Linked DNA regions of Coturnix japonica. The protein of the gene in region 2 interacts with the protein of the main gene of each other region in a pairwise test. Links are inferred from orthologs where the notes say so. Each region holds a gene or a part of one and is shown on either strand. Other genes may lie near its edges.

Region 1 (5,177 bases), on a different chromosome or scaffold from region 2:
GCACCACTGATGTCTCATTACCTCTCACTCATCACATTTCTATATGCAAGTTTAACCCTACTGGTGTTACATTTTAAGTAAACATAAGGACCATCAGCAGTTTGATTTTGAGAGGAAGGAGAAGCTGCAGTGATTTTGTATGCACTAATACAAAGTAGGGCTCAAACAGGTTGACTGTGGTTACACTGAAATATGTCCCCAAACACAGCCCCCAAACTGATTCTGACAGCCCAGCAGACCTTTATGCTTTGATTATCCTCTCGTATATTGATTTGAGGAGACCGTTCTCTCGATGAGCACAGGAGATCAAGAATTTCCTCATTGTAGATCTGAAAGCATCAGAACAGCAGTTGAAAATCAGCAGCTTTTAGAGAAAACAATCTGCACAAAGAAAGGTGTACAACTAGATTGAAATCAGGGCTAAACGCACGTGAGGGTGCACTCATCTTGCTTTTAGAGTACTCAGATAAGATCTCATGTAGTCAGATGTAGACCTGGACATACTAAAAACCCGCTTTATATGCAGTTCGTACATTTCCAATAGTTTGAAAACCAAAACCACATTTACCTCCAAATAAGAGACTTTGAGGACGAATTCCCAGTCCTGCCTCTGCTCTTTCTCCATAAACAGCTGCGTGATTACACGAGGGATAACCCCCATGTTGGGATCGTGCTCCTGACTGGCAGTATAAGTACCTCCCATAGAGTATGTTTTTCCAGACCCTGTCTGCCCATAGGCCAGGACAGTAGCATTATATCCTGAGGGAACAAAGAATGCCCACATCAGGTGGTGAAGAAGAAACTAGAAGAAACTTTGACAAGAAAAGCAGCACTCCAGGAAATGCAACGTTGATTTATACAACGTGTATGCACAGATCACATTTAGCAACATTAAGAAATGGATTGAATGAAAAGAAAATAATAAGTACATCAGTACTTTAAAGACAAACAAACAGACAACTTGTTCTGCTGCTTCACTAGAGCCAGTGGGAGCTCTCTATCGTTCTAACTGCACTTCAGCGACAGCAACAATTAAGGATGTCTATGAACTAATGAATTCAAAGGACAAATGGGGATTGCTCTGAACAAAAAGAGACCTATGTTAAGTGTTAGGGGGAATTCTCAGAGGCTGGTGAGAGCCAACTCTGCTCTCACCATGGCCACAGATGGGTTCTGTACAGCCTGAACTGGGAGGCAACCAGTCTGCAGTGCAGAGCCTGGGGCTGGGTGAGCTTTAAGGGCCCCTCCTCACCCAGCCGTTCTGCGATTCGACCGTTCTATTCAATCAGGCAGAGTTCGGCCCTTCCGAACCGAGTTCGACCTTCCGAACCGAAGCAAACAGCAGCGAACGGGGACTGAAGGCACCTCCCAGCCCCCCCCCCCCATGTCAGCCCTACCTTTGAAGATGCCTTGTAAGAGCGGAGCGACGGCGGTGTTGAAGACCTCCTCCTGCTCAACCGCCGGGTCGAACACGTAGTCGAAAGTGAAGGCCTTGTCGCTCCCCACGATCACCTGCGGCTCCCCGGGCACGAAGCTCAGGCACATCTTGCAGCCCTCTCTCGTCTCCTTCGGCACCAGCGGGCGGCAGCGCAACGCCACCTTCACCGGAATCCCTTTCTCCTCTTCTTGCGCCATTTCGGGCCAACACAGAGCGGGACGAAAAACGCAGAAGAAGCTTGCGAGGCTCTCGGTGCAGCAGGCAAGGAGCGGCCCTAGAAGGCACGGAGTGGCCCTAGAAAGCAGGGAGAGGCCGGGAGCTGCCCGCAGCCCCGCACCGCGCTCAGAGCCGCCTCCCCTTGCAGTGCAGATGGCGGCTCCCCAACAGCCCGCTTTCAAACCTTGGCCGCGCTCGCTTCGCCAATCACGGAGCTCAACGTCATCACTGCGCGCCGCGCCGCGCGAGGGGAGGGACCGAGGGAGGCCGGAAGGGCGCGGCGGGGCCGGTCGGCGGCATGGAGGGCCGGCTGCCGTACGATGACTTCCCGGTGGTGTTCCTGCCGCCCTACGAGAGCCCGCCCGCCTGGGTGCCGCCTCACGAGGTGAGGGAAGGCTCCGAGGGGGGTTCCGGCGCGGTGGGGCTCGGTTGGGGGGCAGCGCCTCAGGCCCGCCGCTTTGTTTTGCAGAGGGTTTATCACCCCGACTACAACAACGAGCTCACCCAGTTCCTGCCCCGCACCGTCGTCCTTAAGAAGCCGCCCGGGGCTCAAGTGAGTGCTGCGGGACCACGCTGCGGCCCGGCCCGCGGCACTGTGCGCCTCCTTGTTCTCTTTGTATCGTATTGAATTCACCTTGTCTTCCCCTAAATTGGTAAAGCTGTAAGGGCGTGATAAGCTCTGACTGAGTGCAAGAGAGTGACTCACCCTTCAAGAGCACGTAGAGGGTAACCCTGGGTGGTCAGTAGTGTGCTGGGCCCTGGGGGAGGTGAGTGGGATTACTACCCTGCTGTGTGTGGAGGGGGGAGGAAGCTGTAGGGTATGGTGATATCGTGTGAGAGGAGCACAAGGGAACAGCCCAGGGATGGGATTGCTGTCAAAGTGATGTTTCACTGCGGATCTGGTTTGTTTCATAGCTGGGCTTCAACATCCGGGGAGGAAAGGCCTCGCAGCTGGGGATCTTCATCTCTAAGGTGTGTTTGTGCTCTCCTTCCTCCTTTGTGTTCTGTCTGTTCCTTTGGGTGTTGCTGAGCCAGCAGGGTGTGTTTGGAGCCCGTCATCTGTCCTTATATGAATCTCCAGACTCAGAGGTGTAATCTGCCTCTTTCCAAGTAGCACACAGGCAATGCTGCACCCTTTGCTTACCCTTCCCTTGCCTATGGGGAACCCTACAGTCCCTCTTCTCCAAATGATCCCCACCCCATGTGAACACATTATGCAAGCACTCAGACCTGTGATACTGACCATAGAGTGTCAGCACTGTTGCATCTGCTCTGCCTTTTGCAGGTGATCCCTGACTCAGATGCACACAGAGCTGGGCTGCAGGAAGGAGATCAGGTGCTGTCTGTAAATGATGTGGATTTCCAGGACATCGAGCACAGCAAGGTGAGTACTCATGTTCCCCAGCATGTGCTCTCCTCCCAGGCAGGAAGAGGGGAAGTGCTGCATACACCTTCTCCTTCACCAGCTCAGCTGGGGGCACTGTGTAACTGATGCACCACTGTTTCCCATCCTCCAAAACAGTTTGGGCATTGATCAACTCTTTCTACTTTCAGGCTGTGGAGATCCTGAAGACGGCCCGTGAAATCACCATGCGTGTGCGTTACTTCCCTTACAGTAAGTGCCTGCTAGCTCCAAATCTGGTCACCTAGCACCATTTCTCCTGGGTTAACAGTCTGCTCTGCATCCCTGCTGATCCACCTGGGCTTAGCAGTGATGAGTCTGAAATCATAGGTGTTGTCACACAAGCAGTCTTCAGCTGAGAAAACACTGGGCTTTGATTTGGGGATCAGAAAAGTTATCAAGTCAAAACAGCGGGGATTAACTTCAACTGATCAAGCATAGAATCTTGTAGAGCAGGACTTAAAAAAAACACTGCTAAAAGCCAAGCTGGTTCCTCATGGAACCTCATAAGAACCTGCTTATCCTTGAATAACACAGGAACTAGTTTTGTTGCTAGTGGACCTATTCTGATGGTAGATAGACACTGCCTGTGTTTTCAGTCCATCTCTATAAGTATATTTAAGTATTGCCAAGAGGGAAAAACTTTTTAGCTATTGATTTCTGAACCCATAATGTCCAGAAGTACTCAAAGGAAGAAAGGAGGAGCAAGGAAAAGTCAAATGAAGCCAAACAAGGATTCTTCATAAAATTGGAAACTGGCCCTTAAATTTTAAGTGTAGAAAAATAAGCAGCAAGGGAAGAGAGAACTTTAAAAACGAGCACTGAAATAACTTGAAACAACCAGCTGGGGTGCGCTGTTTTAAAACCAGCTGCTGTCTATGAAGGCAGCAGACACTGTTATCTATTAATGAAGTATAAGCAGAATTTGTTTTTCTTGTAATATTTTGGCTAGTTTCTTACCATCTGCAACTGCTCTTCTGTCACTTCAGCCTTGTGTTCTTTTTCTTGTACAGATTACCAGCGACAGAAAGAAAGAACTGTTCACTAAATGGCAGCTGCCTGCTGTGTCCTGTCTGGAGGAACTGTCCTGCAAGAAACTCTCCACTACCTTTCCTCAACATCTGAGATGACGTATTAAGTTTCAGTTGTCACTGGAGGCACAACTGCGCAGGTATCAGCTCTGCTTCCTGCCTGAAGGAACACCATAGTCTGTTTAGCTGGAAGATGGATGGGGCCTCGGTCTGTTCTCCTGGAACTGGATGATGAAACAAGTTGGTGTCGCTGGCATGGAAGTGGGTACCAGGGGGCAGCTTGTCCTGCCAGAACTATGCTTCTATTCTAGTAGGATATAACTTACTTAAAAGGAGTGCACTGCTGGTTCTGGATCCAGCCCATGTTGTTAGGATGTAATGCCAGGAGTGCCCGAGAACACTTTAGCAGAGCATGGCCTTCTCTATGAGATCAATCTTTTCACTTCTCTGGTGATATGAAGTCTTTTCCTTCTCCACTATTCTACCTCTGCTTTACACTACTGGGTTTGCTTGGTACTCAAATAGGAGCAAAATCCAGTCAAACTCAATGCACAACTCTAGCTGCACTAGTCTGTCAAGGCATGTGTGTCCCTTGTTGCTGCTTACCCACCCCCAAGATACAGGACCAAGATGCTCAGAGCATGTTTTTAAACTGCAGTAACACATAGTCGGGTTCCCTCATGTGTAGTGCTTGCACTGTTAAAAGTTTCACTTGCTGAACTTGCTTCCTTCACTTGGCACAGCCCCATCCCTTTCAGGTGCTCCCTGCCCCTTTGAGGTAAACTCCCTTTTCCTCTGCCTTGGGTATCTTCTCTCCTGCTGGGACAGTTCACCCTCCTGCTGCTGAAATGGTGATATGGTAGCTGTTCTACTGAGAAGGGGGACAAAGCCCTGCTGTGCCTTGTGCTGGGAGGGCACGGATGAAAACACTACAGTTTATCAGCAAAGCTGGGCACAAACATAGGATAGTATCATACTTTAAATGGTATTAGGACAGCCCTTGCTCTGGCTTTCTACACGGTGTTTTCCACTTACTGTAATAACTGAAATAATAAAACTAGTACAGCAACCTGACTTCATCTTATTCTCA
Region 2 (4,549 bases):
GAACAGTGTTTGAGATTCTACTCAGTTACCTTCAGTTACTATAAGTTTTGGCTAACTATATATTGTTCAGTGTGTTATGTCTGACATTCATGCAAAAGGTGATATGCTGTATTAAAACTCTTTAGCTGAACACTGGCTTTGTTTTCATAGTCAAATTAAGTTGTTTTATGGCAATATTATTCTTCCTTATAGTTAACACAAGAAGAATGTAGGGGTACACTATACAAATATAGAACTGAAGAGCTGGATATTGATGTAAGTAATCTGTATTTTTTCTTCACTGGAAATGTTGGTATTTGTCTTCTTTTCATAATAATCTTTCCCTTGACATTTGGGTTTGGAATGTACTTCATATAGGTGACTACTAACAGAGATTGATCTGTGAACTTGAGAGTATAGGATTTTTTTTTAAAAAGTTTCTAAGTTGCAAGAAATATTCCATTTTAGGATGAAATTTCAAGTGCTATATGTGTTTAAATGTAAAATGCTACAAGAAAGGAAAAACTCTGTAGATGTAGTTCAAATAGAAGCACAAGTGTACATATCTAGCCATATTTGCATGAATGCACGTAAAAGTAGGCATGCTGATTTAAGGGATGTTACTTTAACGCTCCAATTAAAGTTAGAAAGTAAAAGCAGCAGCACAAACTGAACCAAAAAACTGTAAAAAAAGAAAACAGTTTCAGACTGATTAGAGTGCACTGAACAGTTGCTCCAAACTGGAGCTGAAGGGGAACAGATTTATTTCTAGCCAAGCCTAGATTGGAGCCAAAAGAGCAGAGCACAGTTATCAAAAACCAGCACCTGACAGAAACGATGGGAAGAACTAGCAGTGTGTACAACGTTATATATAATAATGAAGAATATGTTTCTCAAAAGAGTTTTTTGTTAGCTGTTATTAAGTTATAACCATCTAGTTGTAGAGTCATAAATGATATATTTTGAGCAGTACTGTGTCATGTTACAATAACACTTATTTCATAGTACCTTATGGTTTCTTGAGCTTAATTTGAAAATACAACACTGATGCCTTCAGAACTGTAGAATTCATATTTTGTGGTAAAGAAATGTTGTATAGTCTCATGTAATGATTTAATGAAGTTATGTTTTGGTTATTTAAGATATTAAAAACAATTCTAATTGCAGTCATTTTCTGTTGTATATTAGGCTAAGCTTAGCCGTTTATGTGAACAAGATAAAGTTGTACAAGCACTGGAAGAGAAGCTTCAACAGCTACACAAGGAGAAAGTAGGACAATTATATTTATTACCTAAAGTGGATGTTATTTTACATGCTTGTTATCATAACATTGATAACTGAAATGTAATGAAAATCAACCCAATGATGCAGAACATTAAAAATAATTCTCTTTATTATAATAGTACACGCTTGAGCAAGCTTTGCTATCAGCAAGTCAGGAGATAGAAATGAATGCAGATAACCCAGCAGCCATACAAAATGTAGTCTTACAGAGAGATGACTTACAGAATGGACTACTTGGCACTTGTCGAGAAGTATCGCGAGCTACTGCAGTAAGTAATACATTCTTGCTAGTAAGACCCAGTGACCTGTTAAACAGTTATTGTCATGTTTTTGATTGGTTTGAGTTTTTTGTTATTTTTCATTACATTCCAGCAAATCTCAGTTGTCTGTTACTCACGTGTATTTTTGTAAATGGAGTGGAGTGTACTCTCAGCAGGTTTGCAGATAACACCAAGCTGAGCAATGCAGTTCACTCAGTAGAAGAAGAGGATGCCATCCAGAGGAACCTGGACAGCTTAAAGTGTGTGTCCATGAGAACTTAATGAGGTTCATTGAGGCCAAGTGCATGGTCTAGTACTTGGGTCAGAGCAATCCCAGATATATATACAGACTGGGAGAAGTCAATGAGAGCAGTCCTGCAGAGAAGGAATGTGGAGATCCTAGTGGGCAAGAAGCTGGACTAGAGCCAGCAGTGTGTACTTGCAGCCCAGAAGGCTGACTGCATCCTGGCCTGCATCAAAAGACAGGTGACCAGTAGGGAGAAAGAGGTGATGGTTCCCCTCTATTCTGCCCTTGTAAGGCCCCATCTGGAGTACTGCGTCCAGGGTTGGGGCCCCCAGCAAAAGAAAGACACAAAGCTGTTGCAGTGGGTCCAAAGGAGGGCTACTGAGATGAACAAAGGGCTGGAGCACCTCTCTTATGAAGAAAGGTTGAGGGAGCTGGGCTTGTTTAGCTTGGAGAAGGCTCCAGAGAGAACGCATTGGGGCCTTCCAGTACCAAGGGAGCATATAAGCAAAAGGGGGACCAACTTCTTAGGTGGTCTGATTCTGATAGGACAAGGGAGAATTGCTTTAAACTAAAAGAGGAGACATTTAGGTCTGATGTTAGGAAGAAATTCTTCACTTACAAGGTGATGAGGCACTGACACAGGCTGCCCAGAGAAGCTGTGGATGTCCCATCCCTGGAGGTTTCCAAGGCCAGGTGGACGGGGCCCTGGACAGCCTGAGCTGCTGGGATCAACCCTGCCCACTTCAGGGGAGTTGGAGATGAATGATCTTTTAGGTTCTTTCCCATGTATGTTGTAAAAGAGATTGGCTGGATGAGGAAAATGGAAGCATAGGAAACTAAAAGAAATCTTAGAACAGCTCTCAAACTTCTAAATTTATGCTAAATCAAATAAAGGACTTGATCCAGGCTTAGTAAGGGAGAATGACAGAACTGACCTCAAAGATTTCTTTTTGTGCCTTCTTCTGGTGTTTGCATTTTCATGTCGTGTAAAAACAAGTGTATTAGCAAGCCTGAGGTATTCATCTGTAATGTTAAAAGCAAGGTTGGATGACTTAGTTGTCTTGCATAATAAATTGTATATAGATGCACATGCTTTGCACTCATACCTATGTATTCTGTGTGATAAAAGAGACAAATTTACNACCTATGTATTCTGTGTGATAAAAGAGACAAATTTACTTCTGTTTTGTGGGTTTTCTGAAACTGTGGAAGGGCATCTTAGGATCCACACGCCTTCTAATTATAACAGTGTAGTCTGGAGATTTCATCCTGGAATGTCCTTTAGTTTGTGAAAAGATAAAATGCTGTTAGTTTGTACGTCATTCAGTATCATCAGAAAATACTAAAGCTGTTTAATCATGGCATTCTTTAAAACTATGTGTATACTTACTGCCAATCACTATGAATTAATCCCTGGTGTTTCATGCCGTTGAATGAATAAAACTGTCTACCTTATTAATGTTATTTTTTTTACCCTGAGTATGTACACGCAACTCTTTTCTTTTGTCATATACCTAGGAACTGGAAAGAGCTTGGAGAGAATATGATAAACTAGAATATGATGTAACAGCAACAAGGAACCATATGCAGGAGCAACTTGATCGGCTTGGAGAAATTCAGGTCTGGCATAGGTCTTAAAGATACATTTAATGCTTTTTCATTTTCTATGTTTGTGTTCAAAAGTCTACAAAAATGGAAAACAGAAAAAAAGGAGGGGGACGATGTGTGGTCTGGTAGCATATAAGATATAAAAAGAAAGTAAAAGCTCATCAGTTCTGAGGAGGTTTTTAGCTTTTCTCTATATTTTGAAGCTACCATGTAAGTTTTCCTGTGTCCATCTCTTTCTGTTTCAGTGATCGTGTCCCAGATGGAGAAGTTTCCTCAGACCTTCATTGCTATGATAGATATTAAGTGTTCACATAAATCCCTTCTTTTATCTCATGATTTTAAAATGTAGTTATATCACTGTATCAAAATAAATGAAATATTTAAAGTTCAGATGTTAAACATCAGAACCCTTCCTGCTTATCTTATTACTTTATTATTTGTTCCCTTCTCTGGAGAACTGGTCAATAGGTACAAAGTTCTGAATTTCTGAGGTAATCTTTCTGTGACACACAATTGTGTGCATGTGTATCTGGAATAGACAGGTCTGTGTGGTCAACGCTGTGAGGTATCAATGGATGTTAATGGATGTTTTTGCTCTAGGGACTAATTTTCTGCTATGAGAGAGGGATTACAAGGAAACTCAAGAGCTGAGAAATTTGTGTTATTCAGCCCAAAGCATGCATAACCATGAACGCAAATGGGCCTACATTTTATATGTAGTATGCAAACACTATGTTCATCTGCAGCTATTTTCAGATTGGAACTGATGATTCCTTTACTTTCATTGTGTGTAGGTCTTCCTTGGCTTTGCTTTTCTTTGTAAGGAGAAGATGCAATTCCATTAAGTGAAATTTCAGCTTGCAAATTGCTATCAAAATAACTGGCGTGTTTCTAAAATGACTTAATCTGTCCGCTTTTTTCTGACAACATACTGATTTGTTACCTTTTAATGGGAGAGTATCTATCATTATTTCATTTTGTTTTGTTCATTGCAAAAGAATATGAAGTGCTGTCTAGAGAAAGAGGTTTTATTTTTTGCCCCTCCTACAATACATTCTTATTTATCACCTAAACGTGCTGTTTCATTACTGGCAGACTGAGTCAGCTGGGATACAGCGTGCTCAGATTCAGAAGGAACTGTGGAGAATTCAAGATGTCATGGAAGGTTTAA

The links.
Region 1: the proteins of PLEKHA5 (region 2) and PDZD11 interact in binary tests that used the Homo sapiens proteins (3 or more experiments, as listed by UniProt). The two-hybrid records come from large-scale screens. The link is inferred for Coturnix japonica from reciprocal best matches to the Homo sapiens genes PLEKHA5 and PDZD11.

Annotation. Positions count from the first base shown.
Region 1 is NC_029519.1:1,230,945-1,236,121, reverse strand, and holds PDZD11 (PDZ domain-containing protein 11), read left to right. Parts: upstream 1-1,894; 5' UTR 1,895-1,952; coding exon 1,953-2,039; intron 2,040-2,123; coding exon 2,124-2,207; intron 2,208-2,569; coding exon 2,570-2,626; intron 2,627-2,939; coding exon 2,940-3,038; intron 3,039-3,208; coding exon 3,209-3,269; intron 3,270-4,069; coding exon 4,070-4,104; 3' UTR 4,105-5,161; downstream 5,162-5,177. Other genes in the region: chromosome-associated kinesin KIF4A, read right to left, coding at 240-329, 569-759, 1,398-1,635. UniProt on the Homo sapiens protein: Mediates docking of ADAM10 to zonula adherens by interacting with PLEKHA7 which is required for PLEKHA7 to interact with the ADAM10-binding protein TSPAN33.
Region 2 is NC_029516.1:59,120,146-59,124,694, forward strand, and holds part of PLEKHA5 (pleckstrin homology domain-containing family A member 5), read left to right. Parts: intron 1-192; coding exon 193-255; intron 256-1,167; coding exon 1,168-1,248; intron 1,249-1,382; coding exon 1,383-1,532; intron 1,533-3,288; coding exon 3,289-3,390; intron 3,391-4,473; coding exon 4,474-4,549.